Linked DNA regions of Ovis aries. The protein of the gene in region 3 purifies or fractionates together with the protein of the main gene of each other region. This does not show direct contact. Links are inferred from orthologs where the notes say so. Each region holds a gene or a part of one and is shown on either strand. Other genes may lie near its edges. The genes, in order: SPAG9, KDM8 and RCCD1.

Region 1 (7,691 bases), on a different chromosome or scaffold from region 3:
TATATTGTCACCCTGCTTATTTAACTTATATTCAGAAGATATCATGTGAAATACCAGCTAGATGAAGCTCAAGCTGGAATCAAGATTGTGGGGAGAAATACCGATAACCTTAGGTATGCAGATGACACCATCCTAATGGCAGAAAACGAAAAGGAACTAAAGAGCCTTTTGATGAAGGTGAAAGACCAGAGTGAAAAAGCTGGCTTCAAAACTCAACATTCAAGAAACTAAGCTCATGGCATCTGGTCCCATCACTTCATGGTAAATAGACAGGGGAAAAAATGTAAACCGTGACGTCTTACTTTCTAGGACTCCAAAATCACTGTGGACAGTGACTACAGCCATGAAATTAAAAGACTCCTGCTCCTGGGAAGGAAAGCCATGACAAACCTAGACAGTGTTTTAAAAAGCAGAGCCATCGCTTTGCCAACAAAAGTCCATATAGTCAAAGCTGTGGTTTTTCCAGTAGTCGTATATGGATGTGAGAGTTGGACCGTAAAAAAGGCTAAGTGCCAAAGAATTGATGCTTTCAAACTGTGGTGTTGGAGAAGACTCTTGAGAGCCCCTTGGACATCAGGGAGATGAAACCAGTCAATCCTAAAGGAAATCAACCCTGAATATTCACTGGTAGAACTGATGCTGAAGCTGAAGCTCCAATACTTTGGCCACTTGATGTAAAGAGCCGACTCATTGGAAAAGACCCTGTTACTGGGAAAGATTGAAGGCAGGAGGAGAAGGGGATGACAAAGTATGAAATGTTTCGGTGGCATCACCGATTCAATGGGCAGGAGTTTGAGCAAACTCTGGGAGTTAGTGAAGGTCAGGGAAGCCTGGTGAGCTGCAGTCATGGGGTAACAAAGAATCAGATACAGTGGAGTGACTGAGCAACAATGTATGTATATTTTACTACAATAAAATTTTTTAATGTGATATGGATAAGAATAGCTTTCTAAATAAAGAGAACTGAAAAGATTTTTTAAATGTTAAATGCTTAGTTTTTAAGTGTGTTACTAATATCTTAATGCACTGTATATACCTAGGCTGTATTAATTTTTAATAGTGGCAGAAATTCATATTTGAAATAGAAATAGTGATAATTAAAAAAATTTTTGCTGACTTGTCAGAATTATATTTTGTTGTTTTTAATCTCATTAGTTGGCTGCTTTAAGAACTCATATTAAGAACAGAAACACATTTCTGACATTTTTTTGGTTTACTTGTGCTTGCATTAGTTATTATTTATTATTGTTGCATTTATTTTCTTAATTTTTTAAACTACTTTCTCAATTTGTGAATTGAGTTTAAATTAGTTTAAATAAAATTTATTTACCATCTTGGCAGTGTATTTGCTTAGATATTTGTCTCACCTTTACTCTTATTTCAAACCTATAGTTGCTTTAATAGAGAAAATGCTACTTATAGAAGTTTACTGAGCTATTTAAAGAAAGTTTATCTTGTACTTCAGGAGCCCGAGAAACAGACTACCCTGCAGGAGAAGAGCTTTCAGAATCCGGACAAGTAGACAAAGCATCTTTATGTGGAAGCATGACAAGCAATAGCTCAGCAGAGACAGATAGCCTGTTGGGAGGCATCACAGTAGTTGGTTGTTCTGCAGAAGGTATAACAGCAGCTGCCACTTCCCCTAATACCAATGAAACTTCTCCAGTGATGGAAAAACCGCCGGGTATGTTTGTCTTCCCTAGACACCATCTGTATAGTTTCTGAGCCTGTCCCAGGTGACTCAGTATGGACTTAAGTTAGATTTTAAAGTAACAGGGATGAAAGAGCTTGAAAGAGGATGCTGTGATGATTGTTAAATGAAATCAAGAATCCTCAATTTTATTATATGGAGAAGAGGGTAAGAGTGGAATTCTGTAGAGGGGTTTTGGTAAGTGATTGGAAGAAAAGCTCAAACTTGGAATGGTTAGCATGCTTTATTTATTTTTTAGAAAAGGAGACAGAAAATAGTGAGATTGATGAAAATGTTCCAACAGCAGAAGAAGCAACTGAAGCTACAGAAGGCAATGCAGGATCAGCTGAAGATACTGTGGATGTCTCCCAGACTGGCGTGTACACAGAGCATGTGTTTACAGATCCTTTGGGGGTTCAAATCCCAGAAGACCTCTCACCAGTGTATCAGTCAAGGTATAAAAATGCGTAAACACCTGAGGAAACCAGAGTGCACATGTAAAGGAACCAAAATGATCTCAAGCAGCCAAAATATTCCTACTAACTGACATTGTTGTGGCGGATTTAGATGTTATTACTTATTCCCACTATGTCTTCATCTGTTACATTGCAGAAGAAAAATCTAGACATATTTTTCCCCTATTTGCTCTCTATTCCTTACAACTTAAAAAAATCTTGCTTATAAAGTATATTGGTCAAAATCCTTACCAGTCAGTGTGGATTAAAATAATGAGTTATTAACAGAATAGAATACAGTGAGTACAATTTTTTTTTAAAGCCATACCAAATATCTATGGATTTTTTAAAAATTGTACTGTCTTCTATTCTATTAATAACTCATTATTTTAATTCCCACTCCTACACCCACTCTATCCACAGAACTGCCCATTTAAATTTCCCATGTGGGTTTTAATGACCTTTTGAATTTAGATTTCTGGCAAGTATTTTATTAGAAAACAATTTGTTTCAGACTTTTCCTTCAAAAGAAAGAGTTGTTTAATTTCCTTTCTTGCCTTCTCTAGACCTTATAGAAAGGTGATAGGGGTATAAAGTCATCTTTTTAAACTTACTGATTCATTTGTCTGTTTTGAATTTGATAGCCCAGTTATGCTTTTTTTTTAAACTAACTGTCCTCTGACAGTCCAAAGAAATAAAGTTTGGGGATAGAATAAAAGCATGTTTCAGTTTATTTATTTTAGAACATTGTTTATAATTAACCCTCCTGTGATGTCTGTGTGTGTGTGTGTGTGTGTGTGTGTGTGTGTGTGTGTGTGTGTGTAGGTATGTATGTGTAGTTTTAAAACAAACCATCTCTCCTCCTTCTATCCGCACAGAAGAAACTCATAAAATTCAAGATAACTATAAGAGAGAATTAACTTTAGTCTGGATATTAACTGCTATATTTCGTTACTGTGTCTTATTTCCCTTTTCTGTGCCTTGAACCTCCTAGTATGTCAGTGTTACTTCTGGTACAATTGCTGCAATATATATATTTATATACCTTTCACTCCTTTCTATTCTCCCTCCCGTCCGCCTCCCATTGCCTTGCCTTGCCTAGCTGCCTGTCTGCCTGCCTGCCTTCCCTCCACCCTCCCTCCCTCCCTTTCTCACTGTCTCTGAAATGTTTAATATAATCATCTAACTTTGGCTTTACTGGAATTTATTTTTTTAACAGTACACTAAAATGTAAAAATTATCAATTCCTGAAAACTGTAGCTAAACACAATAAGATTTTTTTTTCCTTTTTTCCCACAGTAATGACTCAGATGCATATAAAGATCAAATATCAGTATTGCCAAATGAACAAGACCTGGTGAGAGAGGAAGCCCAGAAGATGAGTAGCCTTTTACCAACTATGTGGCTTGGAGCTCAAAATGGGTGGTAGGTATCAAATCTTTTTAATATTAGAAATCTTAAGTCTTTCAATTTTGCTTTAGAAATCTTAAGATAATTAAAATGTGCTACGTACAAATACAAACAAAAAGTGCCTATTAAAGTGAAGAATTTTATATACACACAATTTTGAAGTTATATTGCAACTACCTCATAACTTGGACTTGGACTTGCATTGGTTCTGAGTGGTGAACCGTATGTTTGTCATAGGATGTTTCCTTCATATAATATTCTTGGGAAAAAAGTTAAGTAAACTTAAAAATCTGGGTGATCTAAAAATAAGAGATCCTGTTGTTCAGGAAATAAAAGGGATTAAAAAAATCTCGGGCTGCAGAAAGGCCTAATTTTAAACATAACTTCTGGGAAAACAAGGACAAATCACAGTCTAAAAGCTTAGGAGTTGATAAACACTATAGGACTTTTCCACTTTGTAGTAGTGTGAAGAGTCTTACAAACTTGTGCTTTTCCTAAGGTTAAACGAAATCACTAGTGGATCTTTCCCATAAAGGACTAATACTACAAAATGAAGGTTTGACGTACGTTTCTCTATGAAGGGTCAGACAAGAAATATATCAGGTTTTGTTGCCTTATGATCTTTGTAGCAACTTATTAACTATGCTGTTGAGGTGCAAAAGCAGCCACTGCATTGACAATACCTAAGTGAACTGGTGTGGATATGTTCTAATAATAATAAAACTTATGAACACTGAATTTCATATAAGTCTTGTATGTCATGAAATACTCTCCTTTTGGTTTTTTTTTTTCCCAACCATTTAAAAAATATAAAGACCATTTTTAGCTTGAGACTGTACTAAGACAGGTAGATGGCTGGATTTGGCCTATGGGCCTTAGTTTGCCGCTCCCTGATGTAAACCGCTCTATTATCAGAAATTTATAGCTCAGTAAGAAGACTATTTTTTTAAAAGATTGATAGCCAAGGATTCTGAAGTATGTGGTAATCTGAAACCAACCATGCGTTAGTTCTGGCTTTTCCTTCTTTTTATGTTTCTGTTTGCTTAAGCAGCTTATTTCTCTGCCTTAGGCCTATCCTTTCCTTGTTTTGTCCTGAAATTTTTATGTTACTCTTCTTTTCTTTTGAAGAAACTTTGTGTCATTATTAGATATAAGCAACTACTTGATGTGTTCTCTATGCCTTACCAGTCTTGATTTTGTTCTTGCAGTTTGTATGTCCATTCATCTGTAGCCCAGTGGAGGAAATGTCTCCATTCTATTAAACTTAAAGATTCGATTCTCAGTATTGTGTAAGTTTTATTTTAGAAATTCTTCCTTTGAAAAATATGTATTTTGGTATAAACTAGATTCTAAGACTATTAAAGTTAACATGTACTTCATGACTAAATCAGTATCCATGTCTTTTTTAACCCTCTTTATGAATGAGATTAAAACTAGAAAATAAACCAAGTAATTTTAAGTAGAAGAGAAAGCTTTCTAGGTTGATTCCTCACTGTTCTGAGAGTTCTTTAGCCTGTTGGTGAGAAAACCAATTAAAACCCGTGATATTTGTTTCAGAATATTCTTTACACTTTGTGAATATGCTGATTGGGTGATTGATTTACCAGTCCTTTTCTGTATGTTGACTGTGAAAAGTCAGTTTGTCTCTTAGATCCACAGAGCTGACTCTTTCTACTCAAGGTGTGTGCCTCTGGTCTGTGGACCTTTTGTCTGCAATGAGAGGAGGTTAGAAAGTGAAACAGCTGAGTCACCACACATGCTTCCTATTGAGTCCAGCTGACATTTTCATAACGAGACTTTTCTCAATGAAGAAAAGAATCTGTTCCTTTAGATTCTCCTGTAAGCTCCTCACATCACAGATTGGTCTTCTGAGAACCTCTGAACTAGTTCAGCAGCGTGTGGTGTCTTCTGCACTCCCAAATGGAGAGTTCTAAGACCCCCTTTCCTGTTTGCAGACATGTGAAAGGAATTGTGTTGGTGGCCCTGGCTGACGGCACCCTTGCAATCTTTCACAGAGGAGTTGGTGAGTTTCATGAATATGTAACATGTGTGCTGATTCGTTGCTTTGCAAGAGCATGTTCAAACATATTGACCTCATATGTTTTAAAGAAATGATATTTCATAGAAGAAAGAATAAAGATTTAAACTGAATACTAACCATGTATGAAATGAGTAAATATGTGAGTGCCTGACTGGAGGCATACATTAATCATACACCTCAGTGAAAATTTGTTTACCATACTGAGCAAATAGTCCTTATGGTCCTCTTAAATAATGTGCAATGGAAGTATTTATTTGTTTTATTTGTTTTCTAATCATAGGCCTAATTTAGTGAGAGTACATGGTTTCTTTTGTCCAGTATTTTAAAAGTAATTTGCATTCACTTACATTTGGAATGTTCTTGAAAAGAATTTTTAATTAGCTAAAGTTTAATCATTTTCTTGTCATGTTTTTTATATTCTTCCCCTTTAAAGTAGTGTTTCTACCATCTGCAGACAGAAGGTGTCAGAAAACTGCGCTGAGTGAATTTAAGAAATTGAGTATATAATTCCTTGGTACATGTATAGTCCAAAAGTGATATTTCCTTCCTACTAGATTGGTAGATCAGGGAAATATAAAAATATAGATCCGATATGAGACTTTGGAAAAGCCTTGCAAAAATTAATTTTTTATTTTATTAATTAATTTTTGCAAGGCTTTTCCAAAGTCTCATATCTTTTTGCAGCCTCAAGAAATGTGAGGTAGATGATACTTAGGTGCCTAGAGATTTTTGGTTAATGACTCCATAATGAAAAGAGAGGCCTCTGTTTTACATTGTTCAGGGCCTTTATAGACGGTATCTGAGTTTAATCCGCACAGCAACTTATGAAGAAAATTCTATTGTCATCCTCATTTTGTAGCTGAGGAAACTGAGGCACAGTAGTTACTTGTTCCTGGTCACTCGACTAGTGAGTAGGAGAACCTAGAAAAATGGAATAATAAATGTTTTGGTAGACTGAATTGAAAACTGAGCAAGACAGAATACATTAAATAAGGATAAATGTAAAGTCCTGCATTTGGGTTCCAAAGAGTAGATGGAGATTTGTGTGAAGAGTGACAGTTACTTAAAGGGTGACATTAAACTCAGTACAAGTTAGTTAACATGCTAAACCTCATAGAAATTAGTGTCTAGAGCAGGGCTGGTGATCCTGCTCCACTCTGGTAGAAAGATAGCATGAAATGGATCTAGACAAAATGGAGTTGGGATGAAAGTTCCATAAACAAATGTGTCCAAAACACGAAGACAGGGCAGTAGCAATGAAGTGAGACTTACTCTGTGAGGTTTATTCTGTGTTTCCATTAGGCATAACTATAGATGAAAGAGTGATTATGTACAAGAAGGCAGACTTTAGCTGAGTATGGGGAATATTTTAAGATAATTACAGTTTTCTTAAAATGAAACAGCTGCTTTGTGAGGAATTATGTTTTCCTTCACTGAAATTATCAAGCAAAGCAAGCTTACAGTGGTTGGTTCTCATTTGTAATGAATTTCTTGTCATCACTAAAGTTATGCATAATTCCTAAAGCCTTAGCAGTGAGTTGCCCTTGACTTCTATCTAAGAAGATACACCAAAAATGCAAGTGAGCCAGAGCGATATTATGCCCCAAATAACCTTAAATTCATTATAATACCTAAAATACTTTTGTAAACAGGTAACTTAAAAATAACTAATCACATCACCTCTGTTGAGAGCAAGGGGGTCCAGGTAATGGGTGGCAGGTTGGACCATATGATCTTTGAGATCTCATCCAACTCTGTTTGATTTATATCTGATTTACAGATTTAATTTATAGATTAATGTCTGTAATATATACACTGTATGTATATATATCTGTAATATATACAGCTTGCCTGGGATTAATATCTGTAAATATACACTGAAATACATGATATTTGGTGATACTTCATTAATAAATTTAATTACACACCCAAATAAAATATTTTTTGAGTTAAAATTGAGTAAAAGATGGTATACATAAACTAATAATCTACTCCTTATTTTAAAGATGGACAGTGGGATTTGTCAAACTATCACCTGTTAGATCTTGGACGACCTCACCATTCCATCCGATGCATGACTGTGGTACATGACAAA
Region 2 (6,669 bases), on a different chromosome or scaffold from region 3:
CCTGGAGCCTTCTGTGGCGAGGACCAGCGCTGCCCTGTGTTCCAGACGGAGACGTGCACAGCAGAGTTGCCTGCCCCAAACCACACAGGAGTTCAGCGATGGGCCCCTGGCCTGAATCCAGGCAGCCCAGCTCGGAGCCCAGGAGCTTCCATGTGGGTTGAGGACCTGGACTGTCCTCCTGGGGGCCTGCCTGCCTGCCTCCGCCACCCACAGCAGCCGGGCCACCCCTGGGCCTACGTGTCTCTGACGAAGGTGTCCTCAGGCAGTTGGTCCCTGGGCCGGGCACAGTGTGAAGGATGTGTGTGACCATGAGCACGTTCTGTGTGCCCGGCCCCCTGCTCTCAGCTACGACCACCAGAAGCTGACGGAGAAGCTCAGGTCCAGGGCCCTCACGTAATGCCAATGCTTCGCTGGGATGAAGAGGACCTCGCCCGGGGACAGGACGCAGGACAAGAAGGGGGCCTCAGCAAACCTGGGGAACTTCTCCAGGTCGGGATTCTCCACGTCAACCTGAGAAAGTGAAGGGAGTTACCTGTCTGGTCTCAAGAGACAGGGTGGGGGTCCCACCGGGGCCCCCAGGCCCACCTGGCTCGTGTTGTGAAGAAGGTGTGTGTCGTGGGGGTACAGCGCCTCCGACTCCTGCGGGGAGTACAACCGGATGTACTTCCTGCCCATCACCTGCAAGGAAGAGACCCTTCCATGAGCAGGTGCCCGCTGTCCCCGCGCACGCCCTCCCTGCCAGCCTGCCCCACTCCCAGCAGACGCGTTAGGTCGAGTGCATTTGCTGCTGTCCCAAACCATCAGAAGGCACTTGGCTGTGGCCACTGCTGTTGAAGTGCTTTGTGTGTGTTGGCTAATCCTCGCCATGACCCTCCAAGGTGGTTTATCATCCCCCCCAACAATGCAGGCACAGAGAGGCTGAGCTGCCCACGTTCACAAAGCTGAGAGGGGACAGCTGTGTTCACGCCAGGTGGTCGGGCTTCCAGCCTCTCTGTCGCATCCCGGGCGGGGAATGGGCCCTGGACTGGAAGGACACTCTGGCTTGTCAAACCTCTCTGCCTATGATGGAAGGTTTTATAACAGATGTCCCCGCTCCCTGCCACGCCCCTTCCCTTATAACACACGCAGGCTCCCCTGTCTGTGTCCCAGGAAAACCACCCACTGGCTGAGCAGCTTCCTTGTATTTGACCTGGCTCTGATGGATGGCAGGGGGGCGGCAGCCGTTGGGGCACTTGCCCCATGCTGAGATGGCACCCGGCCCTGTTCTGCCTGTGTGAGGCATCCAATGGGATCCCAGACGATACAGGAGTCTGGAAGCAGCCCCTCCCCTCCCTGAGGCCCGGTACTGAGTCTCTGGTTTCACTTTGGTCCATGCCCCTGTCTGTGGTTCATCTCCTTGGTGTTTAAACATGGATAATGTGTGGCTGGGCCAGAAGGAAGGGGAAGGCCAAGGTTCTGAGCGGCTCCAACCTGGGCTAGGAAGTTCTGCTGGGGATCCTGGTGGAGTGGGGAGACGGTGCCTTGTGGGCCGAACCAGGCATTGATGGTGATCTCCTCTTCCTCCCCGTCGCCCAGGCAGCAGTAATCGGGGATGCTGATGTCCTGCTTCAGCTCGGGGATCTGACAGAGCATATGAGGCGGGTTAAGGCCAGGCCTGTGCAACTCAGCAGCCTAGATGTCAACTGACTCTTAAGCAGAAGGCCAATACTGTCTTCTTGTGTAATATGACGCTAGCCACATTTTACTGCATAGGAATTTTAAATCAATTTTTAAAAGTAAATATATAATTACTAGGGAAGGGTTATAATTTTCAGATTTCTTTCCATGTCACATGCATTTTATCTTTATTTCCTTTTTTAAAAAACCTGACAACCCTACTTTGTCTTAAAAATAAACCAGCTTACCATTTTCTAAATCTATCACAACATTTTAGAAAGTCAAAGAAAAAAGATGAGACTAAGTATTTATTTATCAAATCTCTGGAGAGGAAGGTTTTTCCAAAATTTACTGATGGTAAAGCAATCACAATCAGTACATTTAAGGTAAATGAAAATAAGTATATTAATATAAAATAAGTGTATTCCAATAAAATGGAAAATATCTGAACTGTGGTAAATGAAGGTTAATGTAGAGCATTCATATAAAATAATAAGGATCCCAATATGTATAAGTTACACAAATAAGCAAAGGACAAAAATCAGATCATACATAAAAAGGCTTTCAGTCCCATCAGCAAAGAAATCCAAATTAAAAACTGTCATCATTTCCTACTAATCAAATTAGCAAAGACTGAAAAAGTGATAACACCCAGTGGTGCTGAGGATGTGGTAATGTGGGCAGCCCCATGCCAGGCTGCTGGTGGCATCAAGTGGTCATATGTGGAAGTCTTAAAGCTGTGCAGACCTTGACCCAGTTGGAAGTGAGCCTGTGCTGTGCCTTTGTGTGGAGGTGTCCTGGGGTGGGGGTGTCCTCCAGGAGGAGTGAAGTTGGGACTCCGGGGCAGGTGGGGGGCAGGCAGACAAGGTTGCACGAGGAGGTAGGTGGGCTCACCTGCCCCAGCATCATCAGTGAACATCTCTAATGAGATGATTCTCCCTCAGCTTATGGTGGGGTTGCATCCCAATAAGCCCATGGTAGTTTGAAAATATCAGAAGCTGAAAACAGAACATCATAGCTGAGCCTAGCCTGGCTTAAACGTGCTCAGAACACTTTCATTAGCCTACAGCTGGGCAAAAGCATCAAACACAAAGTCTATTTTATAATGGAGTGTTGACAGATATCACCCAATTTATTGGATCCCGTACTGAAAGTGAAAACCAGAATGTTATCCAGGTCCAGAGTGGCTGAAGTGTATCCAGTGCTTACTGGTGTGACTGTGTGATGGACTGCATTGAGGGACCGGGAGACTCAGCCCAGCATCACATAGTATGGTAAACATACCACTAAGTCCAGGAAAAGAGCACGGTTCAAAATCCAAACTACAGTTTCTACTGAATGCCTATCGCTTTGGTATGACCATAAAGTGGAATCATCATCATTTGGGGACTGTCTGTACTTTAAAACAGCAAGTACCCTCGTGCAGCCCTCTCATGTCTTCCTATCCCCCACACCCACCCTACTTTCCGACCAGACAGCATGCAGCTGGGGCTCCACGGCCAGGGCTGGCGCGGAATCCATCGCCCAGAGGGAGGGGCCGGAGCTGCCTCTACAGGTCTGGTCAGGAAGTGGTTTCAGCCAGTGTGAGTGGTTTCCTCTGAGACTCTGGTTCTTTCCAAACAAGGCCAATCTACCGTAGCCCTGCCGAACCCCAACTGACAAGACTGCCTGCCATACTGGCAAGTGCTCCGGGACTCTGGGAAATTAAACACAGAATCAAGTTTGGTCCCCCAGATGCTGCAAAGGGGACCCACTCTGCTAGTTTAATCAGGGATCTTCAGAGCGAGCTCTCCAGGCCTGAAGGGACGTCTGCAGGCGACTGGCCATTCCTTTAGCGCACACACCGCTAGGGAAGGCTGGAATGCTCTCCCTGCCGGGAGCTGGGGCTGTTTTGCTCGTAAAAAAGCTGCTGTGTCCACTGCTTTGGGTTGACGCAGAAGTTCATGACCTGAGGTGCCTTGTCCTGTGGGTGAGGGGGGTCCTCAAGCTACATGTAGGATCCCCAAGGCCTCTGAGAAGCACCTGCTTCTCCCCCGCCAGGCTCATCGTCACACCACACAGTTTCTGGCTGGGATTACACCAGACCCTGGCCCTGTGGGATGCTGGGAAGCTGACTGGTTCCTGATGACACCATCAGGATTCCTGAGAGGTGATTGGTTGGCCAGATGATGTAACTGGGGGCACGGGCCAAGGATTCAGAGACCGTAAGAGGAGAAACTGTCCCAGGTGGGGCTGAGACTTGAAGGCAGGCCTAGCACAAAATATTCTGAAACATGGGGTCACTGGGAGGAAAGTCAGTAAGAGGTTTTGGGGCAAAAGGTTTTGGGTGGGAGACCTTGAGCTTGGTGGAGAAGGCCCCAGAAGCCGTGCAGAAGCCAGCCAGACATCCCTTCTGTGCTGCATGGCGGCCCCAGGGCTCTGGTTGCTCAGACTGTCCCCATGGTAGTTGGAACAACAGAGGAGAAAACACACCTCTGGGGGCCTAAGACAAAAACGGCTTCAACGCCTTTGTCCATCTTAAAAACAATCATGTTTTTGCCTTCTCCCCAATGTGCTTCCTCGTATTCTAGTCAAATGGCAACTAGCTGCTCCAGGACAGGGAGCCAAGCTGAGGGCTGAGCCCTGGTACGACTGAGGCCAGGGGATGGGACAGGCCAGTCTCTTGAGATCACACAGCAGAGGCCTGATCAACTCAAATCCCCCTTTTCCTCATTTAGCAAGAGAGGATGGGGAAAGGACCCATGAGTCCTCACATGGGGAGGCCTAGGCAGGAGACCATAGCTCTCCTGGCCCCATCGCCGCCTCCCCGCTGTAACTTTGGACCTGCAGCTCCCAGAGGCTGGCAGAGTCCCAACTGGGGCTAGGGGTCAAGATCAGCATGAACTCACTTGTTCTGGGTCAGGTTGGAGCCTGCCACCCTCACCTGGCTCCCAGAACCAGTTCTGGGAGTTCTGACCACATTTGGGTTTCCCATTCCATCCCCTGGGGGCCACCCGGAGGTGGCCTCCTCTTCCCTCAACCCAGTCCCGGGGCCTGGCCTGCCCCCTGCTGCCTGCTGGTGAGAAGGGCATCAGGTGAGTGTGCCTCCCTACTCAGAGCAGGAGGCAGAACCAGGAGGAGGCAACTGAGGTTACTACCCCTTTCCTGCCCCCTGGGGCTAGTGCCCCAGAGGGAGGTGGGAGAAGGTGAGAGGGTGAAGGATGGAGGGGCGTGGTCTGACTCACCTGGTCAAAGAGCTGGTGCTGAGCAAGGTACCCGATGTCCTTCGGCTGCTCCACGGGAGAAAAACCAGAAGGGACACAGGAAGCCCTGTTAGTTGTGACAGAGAGGTCCCTGGAGCTGCCAGTTCAGCTGGCTCTCAGCATCCTGCCCATGGCAACCACCCAAGGGCCCTCCTCTTCATCCCCCTTGGACCCCCTCCTCTTGAGCCCAGGGCCAATGTCATCCCTTGCCAGCCAGCAGGAATGGGCTGATGGGGGCACTCAGGGTCTGGTACTGCCTGTGCTAAAGAGGTGGGCCTGAGTAAGTCACCCGGAGCCCCGGGGCTCACTTTCCATGAAATGTGAAGGGGCTGCGCACACATAAAGATTTTTTAAAATAAAAATGGAATCATACAATATGCATTACTTTGAAGTCTGCTTTTCAATTTAATGATACATCGTGACTATCTCTTCCAGTCGATACATGCATATGTGACTCATTCTTTTGATGGATGCATGTTTTAGAGATAATGCATCATTATCCATTCAACCGTCCCCCAGCTGGTAGACATTCACGTGGTTCTACCATGGTGTTTCAGTAAGCAGCTGAATGCACGCGAGTGTGCGTGCTGAGTCGCTTCAGTCATGTCCGACTCTTTGCGACCCCATGGGCTGTAGCCTGCCAGGCTCCTCTGTCCATGGGATTCTTGAGGCAAGAATACTGGAGTGGGATGCCATGCCCTTCTCCAGGGGATCTTCCCAACCCACGTCCTTTATGTCTCCTGCATTGACAGGCGGTTCTTTACCACTAGTGCCACCTGGGAAGCCCAAACAGCCGAATGCTCTGGTCCTTCTGTTTATATGCCTCCAAAAGTAGAACAGTGCGGTCAAGGAGCACATGCATTACACACATTTTAGATCTTAACAGCTTCTGCCAGGTTGTTTTCCCAACACTACATCATTTATGTCCTCACCAGCCGTTAATGGGAGCGCCCACTTTCCCACATCTCTGACCACACAGGAGATGATCATTTTGTGAAAAATTCTGCCAAGCAGAAGAAAGAAAAGATCAGTGCTTTTCAGACCGGGCTCCTGGATGCTGAGGGATTCTCTGAGTATGCCTGAAGGCTTCTGCAAGGGTCAGATGGGGGCAGGTTAGATACAACGCTGGGCACCCCTGACCCCAACAGCAGCCAGAGCGGCCAACAGGTATCAGGAAGAGGAAGACACCAAGGTCCTCCCTGTTAAGAAATGACAAAATGGAAGACAATCTGGCAGTTCCTCAAAAGGTTACACACAGCGTGGCCACCTGCTCCAGCAATCCCTCTCTGCATATAGACCTAAAAGTGGAATCACATGTCCACACAAAAATGTTCATAGCATTTCTCATACTAGCTGAAAAGTGGACACAACCCAAATGGCCATCCACTGAGGAATGGATAAACAAGACGTGGGCTATCCGTCAAAGGGATACTATTTGGCCATAAACAGGTACGTGCTGTGACAGAGATGATCCTTGAAAACATTATGCTAAATGAAGGAAGCCAGACACAGAAGGTCACATATTGTGTGATTCCAACTATGTGAAATATCCAGAAGTGGCAAATCCACAGAAACAGAAAGCAGATTCATGGCTGCCCGGGGATAGGTGGGGAGGAGATACAGGAAGTGACTACTCATGAGTGTGGGGTTTTTTAGGGTGATGAGAATGTTCTGGAATTACAAATCGGTGATGGTTGCACCATCTTGTAAATATACCAAAAAGCACTGAATTGCAACCCAAAAATAAATAATTAAAACCCTCCAAAAAACA
Region 3 (6,982 bases):
TGTCTATGATGCCGGCCCTGGCTCAGCTGGTAAAGAATCTGCCTGCAATGCAGGAGACCTGGGTTCAATCCCTGGGTTGGGACGATCCCCTGGAGAAGGGAAAGGCTACCCACTCCAGTATTCCGGCCTAGAGAGTTCCATGGACTGTATAGTCCATGGGGTCCAAAGAGTCCGACATGACTGAGCGACTTTCACTTTCTCTTTAAGATGCGTCTCTAGGCATCCAGTTACAAATCTCCTGGTGTTTCTCTTTTTCTCTGGGAGTGTGGGGCACACAAACCCTGCAGCCTGTGGAATCTTAGTTCCCCGACCAGGGATTGAATCTGCTCCCTCAGCAGTGAAAACGCAGAGTCCTATCCACTGGACCACCAGGGAGTTCCCTCCAGGTGTTTCTAATGAGGGGAAAAAGTTGAAGATGCTGCCTGCTCTAAGGTGGAGCAAGAGGGCTGTGACTGGGAGAGGCCTCTGGGTGCTGGCAGTGGTTTTCCTTGCCCTGTGGGGAGTTTCACAGGTGTTGGCTGTATAATTTTCCACTCTACTGTTCTTTTATGCCCTTATCCATAGGTTAGCTCTTCTCTTTCTCCACAGCATACACATAGGTGTTCCAGGGCCCACAGCTCACAGTTCTTACTTGGAGTTGCTTATCTACAAAGTACTCCACACGGCAGGGCCGGTCCAAAGTAGTTGTGTCCTTGTGGCCGAGCTGTCCATATTTACCTAAAGTGAAATGAGCCCCTTTGCCATCCTCTGCTGGGCCCTGTGGCTTCTCCCCTCCAGGAAGGAAAATCAGCCCATTGACCGAAGCGCTGGGCTTAGGCCACCACTCCGCTGCTGTCTGCTCCGTGAGTTCAGACCAGCAGCATAGAGCCAGGCAAATCCTCCAGGCTCCCCACTCCTAAAGCTCAGATGCCCAGAGATTTTCATTCTACCTTTTTCTCTTCCCAGGGCCAGACCACAAGAGGTCACAGAGATGCTGGCGAGATATTCCCTTGGGATACATACTTTTTCAGGAAGGTAGATGGGAAATACTGATACTTCCTGTTTCTCTGAGCTCTGCCCCTCTGAGTGTGCCTAGATCTGTTCCAGAGAAGGGAACAGATGGCTTTTCAGTCCAGTGGTCGTGCTGAGACCCCTGTTTCCGCTTCTCTTCACAGCTGTTGTCACTTGCCCGCTACCCGCAGGTCTTTTCCTCCCCTTAGTTTAAGCATCACAAAAGCAAACCCTTTACTTACCCCAGCCCCAGGTGTAGAGCTCCCCCGTTCCTGCAACCGAAAGGACAGTAAAGGGGCTGTTGCCATGCTCTGACAGGGCATGAGTCCAGCTCAGCCTGCCACAACCCACAGCCAGCGCACTGTGGCCGTTGTGCGATTTGTTTGGCAGAGCAACACATATTCTCTCTCCTTTTTTAACAATCGTTACATGTCAGGAAGATCCCTTGGAGAAGGGCATGGCAACCCACTCCTCTGTCCAGAAAATCCCATGGGCAGAGGAGCCTGGCAGGCTACAGAGCGTCAAAGAGAGTCGCAAAGAGTCGGACACAGCTGAAGCGACTTAGCACACAGCATGCACACAGGCTAGTCACGTTCGGGGTGGTAAAGGATCCGGACTGAACAAGTTCACCTTGCTATACACCCAACGGCTATGACTCACAGCCAAATCTGGAGTCTCAGGAGCAGGGTTGGGCAGACCCTCATCCGATGCAAGGCTGGCAAACACTAGCCTCCCCCCAGAACCTTCGGGGCCTGACAGGCTGGGTAGCCTCTGTGAAAGACCCCAGGGAGTGAGGCTGCTAGTCTTTTAAGGGACCACACCCTTTCCTGCAGCCGCCAGCTAGACAGTGTGCAGAGGGGGCTTCCTGCGCCATCCTGAACCAGCCTATCTGGCCCCACTCACTTGTCAGCACTGCCGTGTGCCGGGATCCGCAGCTGACCTTGACTGCCTCTGAGCCCGGGCTGAGATCCAGTAAAGCTGGGAACGGCTGGACCGCTATGAAGGGGGCAGGGGCTCCATCCTCACCCGCAGAGACTCTCTTCACTTCGGAACCATCTTCATCCAGTCCTGAGGCTTCAGAGAAGCAGTAAGAGTTATGATGATAATGATGGTGAACACTCACTGAGACCTGATCTACACCTCGATCATAAAAAATAATAAACCTCATTTATACACACAATAGCTGAAGCCCCTACTCTAGCTCCAAAGCTGTCGCTTGCAACCCCGAATTCCCTGGGAAGTGCTGGAGCTGACAGGCTTGTGGGGTGTGCCGCAAGGACACTGGCATCAGCCTTGCCGTGCTCCCTCTCATAAGGGGTTCAGAGTCCTTCAGTGTGTCCTGGGGTCCCAAGGATATCGCATACCGCTTCTGAGCCCTGTAGCTCTCAAGCCAGCCTATGGCCAGGAGGCAGGAATAACAGAAATGTGTGGAAATCAACAACTGACTCTCACCAACAGACTTGTGGTTGCCGAGGAGGAGGGGGTAGGGGAGGGATGGATTGGGAGTTTGGAGTTAGCAGATACAAGCTATTATATATAGAATGGAAAATACAATAAGGTCCTAATCTGTAGCACAGGGAACTATATTCAATATCCTGTGATAAACTGTAATGGAAAAATATAAAAAAGAATGTATGTGTAGGTATAACTGAATCACGTGGCCATACAGCACAAGGTAACGCAACAGTGCAAATCAATTGCACTTCAATAAAATAAATTTTTAACAAAATCGACCCTCACCTTCTCCTGCAGTTGTCTTTCCATCTTCTGCCAGGCTCTTAGTGGGTAGGGCCAGCTGCCCTGATTCATTCCAGCCCCAGATATAAATATCTCCTGTCTCTGAGGCAGAGAGAATAGGGTCCCATTAAACAGACTCAGATCACCCCTGGATCTATCCACACTCCCTGTACGAGTGTGGCTCCTGACAGACAACGCTTGCCTGCCCCACCCAAGTCAGCCTTCCAGATTAAGTACCTCCCTCAGGGCCCAGCAGCTTCCTTGTCTCAGCAGGACCTTTCTTTCCTCCTTAAGTGCATTCAGTCACCCTATTTTTTTTTTTTTTTGGTCACCCTATTCTTAAAGGACACCTCTTATTAGGCTTTCCTCTCCAGGGTCACTTTTCCCCTTTGTTGTTAACTCCCAGCTCCCACCTCCAACATGCAATTTGGAAATGAGTCCCTGGAAGTTCCCTAGTATCTTTCTTTCACATTCACTGAGCCCAGGCTCCTTTCTTCAGCCCTACCCATCACTGGTCCTGTAGACCTTTTTTAAAAAATGTGTTTGTTTTTTAAATTGACACAGCATTGATTTAATTGACACAGCATGAAACTTTTGTGTAAGTTTCATGTATACAACATTGCGTGTATTTTGACATTGCGTGTAAGTTTCATGTACACATTTTGCGTGTATGTACTACAGTTCGCTTATCACCAAAAGGTCAGTTTCCATCTGTCGCCATACAGTTGACCCATTACACCCTCTCCCATCCCCGAAGGCCTCTAGAAGCTCTCAACATTGCTTGCCTCCTCCCACAACACTATATAGTTTGTTGGCTGGAGCAAGAGCCTTAATGCTAAAAATTCACTAACAGTAGTAGCTGGTTTTATCAAGTGTTTAATCCGTGCCAGTGTTTTAAGCACCATATATCCACTCTACTCCAGAGAAACTTGAGCGGTGAGGTGTCCTGCCCAAGATCACGAGCGGCAGACTGATGCTGATGTGAACCTGGGAGGTCTAGTTTGAAGCAGCAGTGCTCCAACCACATGACACTGAGGCCTCAAACTCTTTTTGGACCTTAGTGTGAGACTTTCCATTGCGCTCTCTTTCTGGTCCTCTCGTCTCCTTCCTCCTGCCCAGCAGTTCTCAAGCCTGGCTGCCAACCCAGGCCCATTAGAATAGGGAGGGGAGAGTGCAGGCCTAAGTTATTTTTAAAGATCCCGAGTGAAACCATGCCCCACGGAGTTAACAGAAGGTGATAACTAAGGAGAAATTCTTGAACTTTCCTTGGAGAACAGATGAGGAACACACTATTAAAACTCCTTTGCTTACTGTAAAGTGCCTTCATTAAGTTCACTTTGGTTATTTTTCTTTCTATTTTTCCCTTAATTGCATACAGTTTCATATAACCCAGCTGTTTCACAGGAACTTGGAGTTAGCAAAAGCCAGCTGGAGACTAGATGGGACCACTGACCCCAAAACTGGGTCTGTGCACGTGGCCAGTGAGTGGCGCTCTGATATCAGAAGGCTCGAAAACTCCACCCTCAGATCATGCTAATTGCCTCTTTTGTACCCCCCACCCCCACCCCACCCCCGCTGCTGCCTGCGTGCCTTGTGGGATCTTAGTTCCCTGATCAGGGATTGAACCCAGCAGTGAAAGCTCCGTGTCCTAACCACTGGACTGCCAGGGAAGTCCCAAAGCGCCTCCACTTTGAAATCTACAGAACCATGTTGACTCAGGTATGCCTGCTCATAACACTGATTACCTCACCTTCTTCCCTACCTCCAATCACCTTTCTCCATGCCTAAGACCACCTGGCTTATGCCATAAATAACCCAAACCCTTCAAGGTGGCAGATTGGGGGCTTATTCTCCTATCTCCTCACTTGGCTGCCTTGTGAATAAACTCACTCTTGGCTATCAACCTTGGTGTCTCAGTGTTCGGCTGGCTGCACAACCCGACCTGGTCAGTAACAATATTAAGTAGTGACCAGAGCCCCTGATGCAGATCCTTGCAAAAATCATTTACCACCAGCCCCACCCGACAGCCTAGCTATCAGCTGCACCTGGATCTCCTGCCAGAGGGGTGAACACAATCTCAAGGGACACTCATTCCCATCCTGGATGACCAGCCACGGCACCAACAGAGCTCACAATGACCACCATCCTCCTCCAGGTGGGCCTCCCAGTGTCCACCCTGTGCCACGCATTACAGCCACCTGGGCAGCTGCTACCTTTCTTCTCTGTCCTCCTTGACTGCCCCTCACCCCTCCATTCTCCCTTGGGGACCAAAATGATAGCCCTGGATGGAGGCAGATGGATGGGAGGGGTAGTGAGACCAGAAGACGGGAAACAACTGCCAACAGTCCCGATTGTGAGGGTGGTGATGAAGGGGCGGCGGGGCAGGCGCTGAATCTGAGGCATTTGGGAGTCAGGAATGACTGGGCTGATGGATGCAGGATTAGCTTGGAAGGAGGCCTGGCTAGGCCACCCATCAGATGGGGAGAGGAGGAGGAAGGTTTGGCGCCTGCAAGATCCTGAGCTGGTTTTGGAAAAGCCCTAGGTCACTCACCACTCAGGCACACAGAATGCCAGCCACCTGCGGCGACTTCAGCCATGCGTAGGCCCTGCAGCGCCTCCAACAGCCTGGGCTCTGGCTCTGGCTCCAGGGTCCCGTGGCCCAGCTGTCCATGCCTGAGGAAAGGAGGTCCCAATCAGCTACAGTCACACCAAGAGGTCTCCTCCGTCCTTGCCCAATCACTCCCTCCAGCCACCTGTATGCTGACCTCCCACTCCGAGGTCACATTTACCGACCCGTAAACCGCGGCATCCCAGCAAAAGCCCAGCGGGCCCACCTGGCCAAGTCCCACTCACCTGCCCGAGCCCCAGGAGAACACCTGGCCCGCGGCGTCCAGCAACAACGCGTGCTCGGCGCCCAGCTCCAGCCGACGCGCCCGCAGCGTGGGGGCCAGAGGCCGGTAGAAGGACGGCCGCGGGCTCACGTAGGCGCGAGCGCAGGGCAGCAGCGGCAGCAGCCCCGCCTGGGTCTCATCACGGTTGGGTCCGTGTTCTGCCTCCTGCACGGCGTGAGACCAGAGGGGCTCCCCGCGCAGCGCCGAACCGGGCGCCCAGGCCTGCAGTTCCGCCCCGGCTCCCGGCCCCGCGCGCAGCAGCACCAGGAGCTCCTCCGACGCGCACGCGTCCGTGTATCCGTCCGCCGCGCCGCCCGCCGCGCCAGACAGCTGCACCCGGCCTCCACCTGCCGGGGGCGGAGAGCGGGCTGGGGACGGAGGGGGCGGCGCGTGCGCCGGGGGCCGGGGCGGGGACGGAGGGGGCGCTCACGGGTCACGAAGGCTGTGTAGCTCCAGCTCGCGCTCACGCGGCAGACGTCGACGCTGCCGCCCGGCATCCTCACCGGCTCGGGGCTGTGTACCTGGCGCCCGAGCCCCGAGCCCAGCGCTTGCCCGAAGCCGCAGAAACCGAAGCCGAACCAGGTCCCGCGACGCTCCTCGTCCATGCCCCGCAGCGTCTTTGGCTGGCTGCGACCTGGCTGGAGCGGCCGGCTAGACAGAGGGTTCGGGCAAGAACCCGGAGAGATTGTTTCAGACGAGCCCTTGCGAGACACTGCAGCTGCCTTACGGGTTAAAAGGGGGAAAAGCCACCACAGAGGCACACGACGTGCATTCCATCGGCGTTCGCTGAGCGGGCGTCCTTACCAGACTTAGAACGATTCGGAGCTGTGTTAAGTGGGGCCCTTTCCCTGTCCCTCCTTTTTGACTCAAGCATATTCACTGTCCCACAAAGTGGGCACCAGGTAGTTAAATAGCCTCTCCTTTAGGCATCGGACTAGGAAACTGAGTCCTTCCCACTCCAAATTCCCAATGTCAGACACATTATCCCATGTAATCCTGGGAACTAGAATTGTCTCCGTTTGACAGTGGAGACTCAGAGAAACTGACCCTTACACAAGCAGGTAACAGCACCGAGAGGGGCAGAAGGCTGAACTCAAGATACATCATTTCCCACCAGTGAAAGGCAAAGGCAACGCCCTGTAAGGGGCAGGACCGGTTCCAGGGCTCACGTTTGCCTCTGCAGCTAGCAACACCTCTGTCCTTAGCCAACTGACTTGAGCTCTTCTCAGTCCAGTTCAGTTTCTTCAGTTGTACAAAGCTGGGCAGCAGGGGCGGGTGATGTTTGTACCTACCTTGTGGAATTGCTATGAACAGATACAAATAAAGGTTTCAAGTGCTGGCACATAGCGAAGTAAGCACACAGT

What was found.
Region 1: the proteins of RCCD1 (region 3) and SPAG9 purify together in Homo sapiens (affinity purification with mass spectrometry; 3 studies listed by BioGRID and IntAct, counting the BioPlex papers as one, with this or other methods). This does not show direct contact. The link is inferred for Ovis aries from reciprocal best matches to the Homo sapiens genes RCCD1 and SPAG9.
Region 2: the proteins of RCCD1 (region 3) and KDM8 purify together in Homo sapiens (co-immunoprecipitation; 3 studies listed by BioGRID and IntAct, counting the BioPlex papers as one, with this or other methods). This does not show direct contact. The link is inferred for Ovis aries from reciprocal best matches to the Homo sapiens genes RCCD1 and KDM8.

The regions. Positions count from the first base shown.
Region 1 is NC_056064.1:35,515,159-35,522,849, forward strand, and holds part of SPAG9 (C-Jun-amino-terminal kinase-interacting protein 4), read left to right. Parts: intron 1-1,465; coding exon 1,466-1,684; intron 1,685-1,949; coding exon 1,950-2,145; intron 2,146-3,444; coding exon 3,445-3,570; intron 3,571-4,763; coding exon 4,764-4,844; intron 4,845-5,510; coding exon 5,511-5,578; intron 5,579-7,602; coding exon 7,603-7,691. UniProt on the Homo sapiens protein: The JNK-interacting protein (JIP) group of scaffold proteins selectively mediates JNK signaling by aggregating specific components of the MAPK cascade to form a functional JNK signaling module.
Region 2 is NC_056077.1:25,310,937-25,317,605, reverse strand, and holds part of KDM8 (bifunctional peptidase and arginyl-hydroxylase JMJD5), read right to left. Parts: intron 4,926-6,669; coding exon 4,881-4,925; intron 1,621-4,880; coding exon 1,471-1,620; intron 679-1,470; coding exon 586-678; intron 511-585; coding exon 346-510; 3' UTR 1-345. UniProt on the Homo sapiens protein: Bifunctional enzyme that acts both as an endopeptidase and 2-oxoglutarate-dependent monooxygenase.
Region 3 is NC_056071.1:21,018,214-21,025,195, forward strand, and holds part of RCCD1 (RCC1 domain-containing protein 1), read right to left. Parts: intron 6,923-6,982; exon of another isoform or gene 6,341-6,922; 5' UTR 6,224-6,340; coding exon 6,049-6,223; intron 5,966-6,048; coding exon 5,581-5,965; intron 5,401-5,580; coding exon 5,279-5,400; intron 2,830-5,278; coding exon 2,731-2,829; intron 2,065-2,730; coding exon 1,894-2,064; intron 1,263-1,893; coding exon 1,233-1,262; intron 718-1,232; coding exon 566-717; 3' UTR 1-565. UniProt on the Homo sapiens protein: Plays a role in transcriptional repression of satellite repeats, possibly by regulating H3K36 methylation levels in centromeric regions together with KDM8.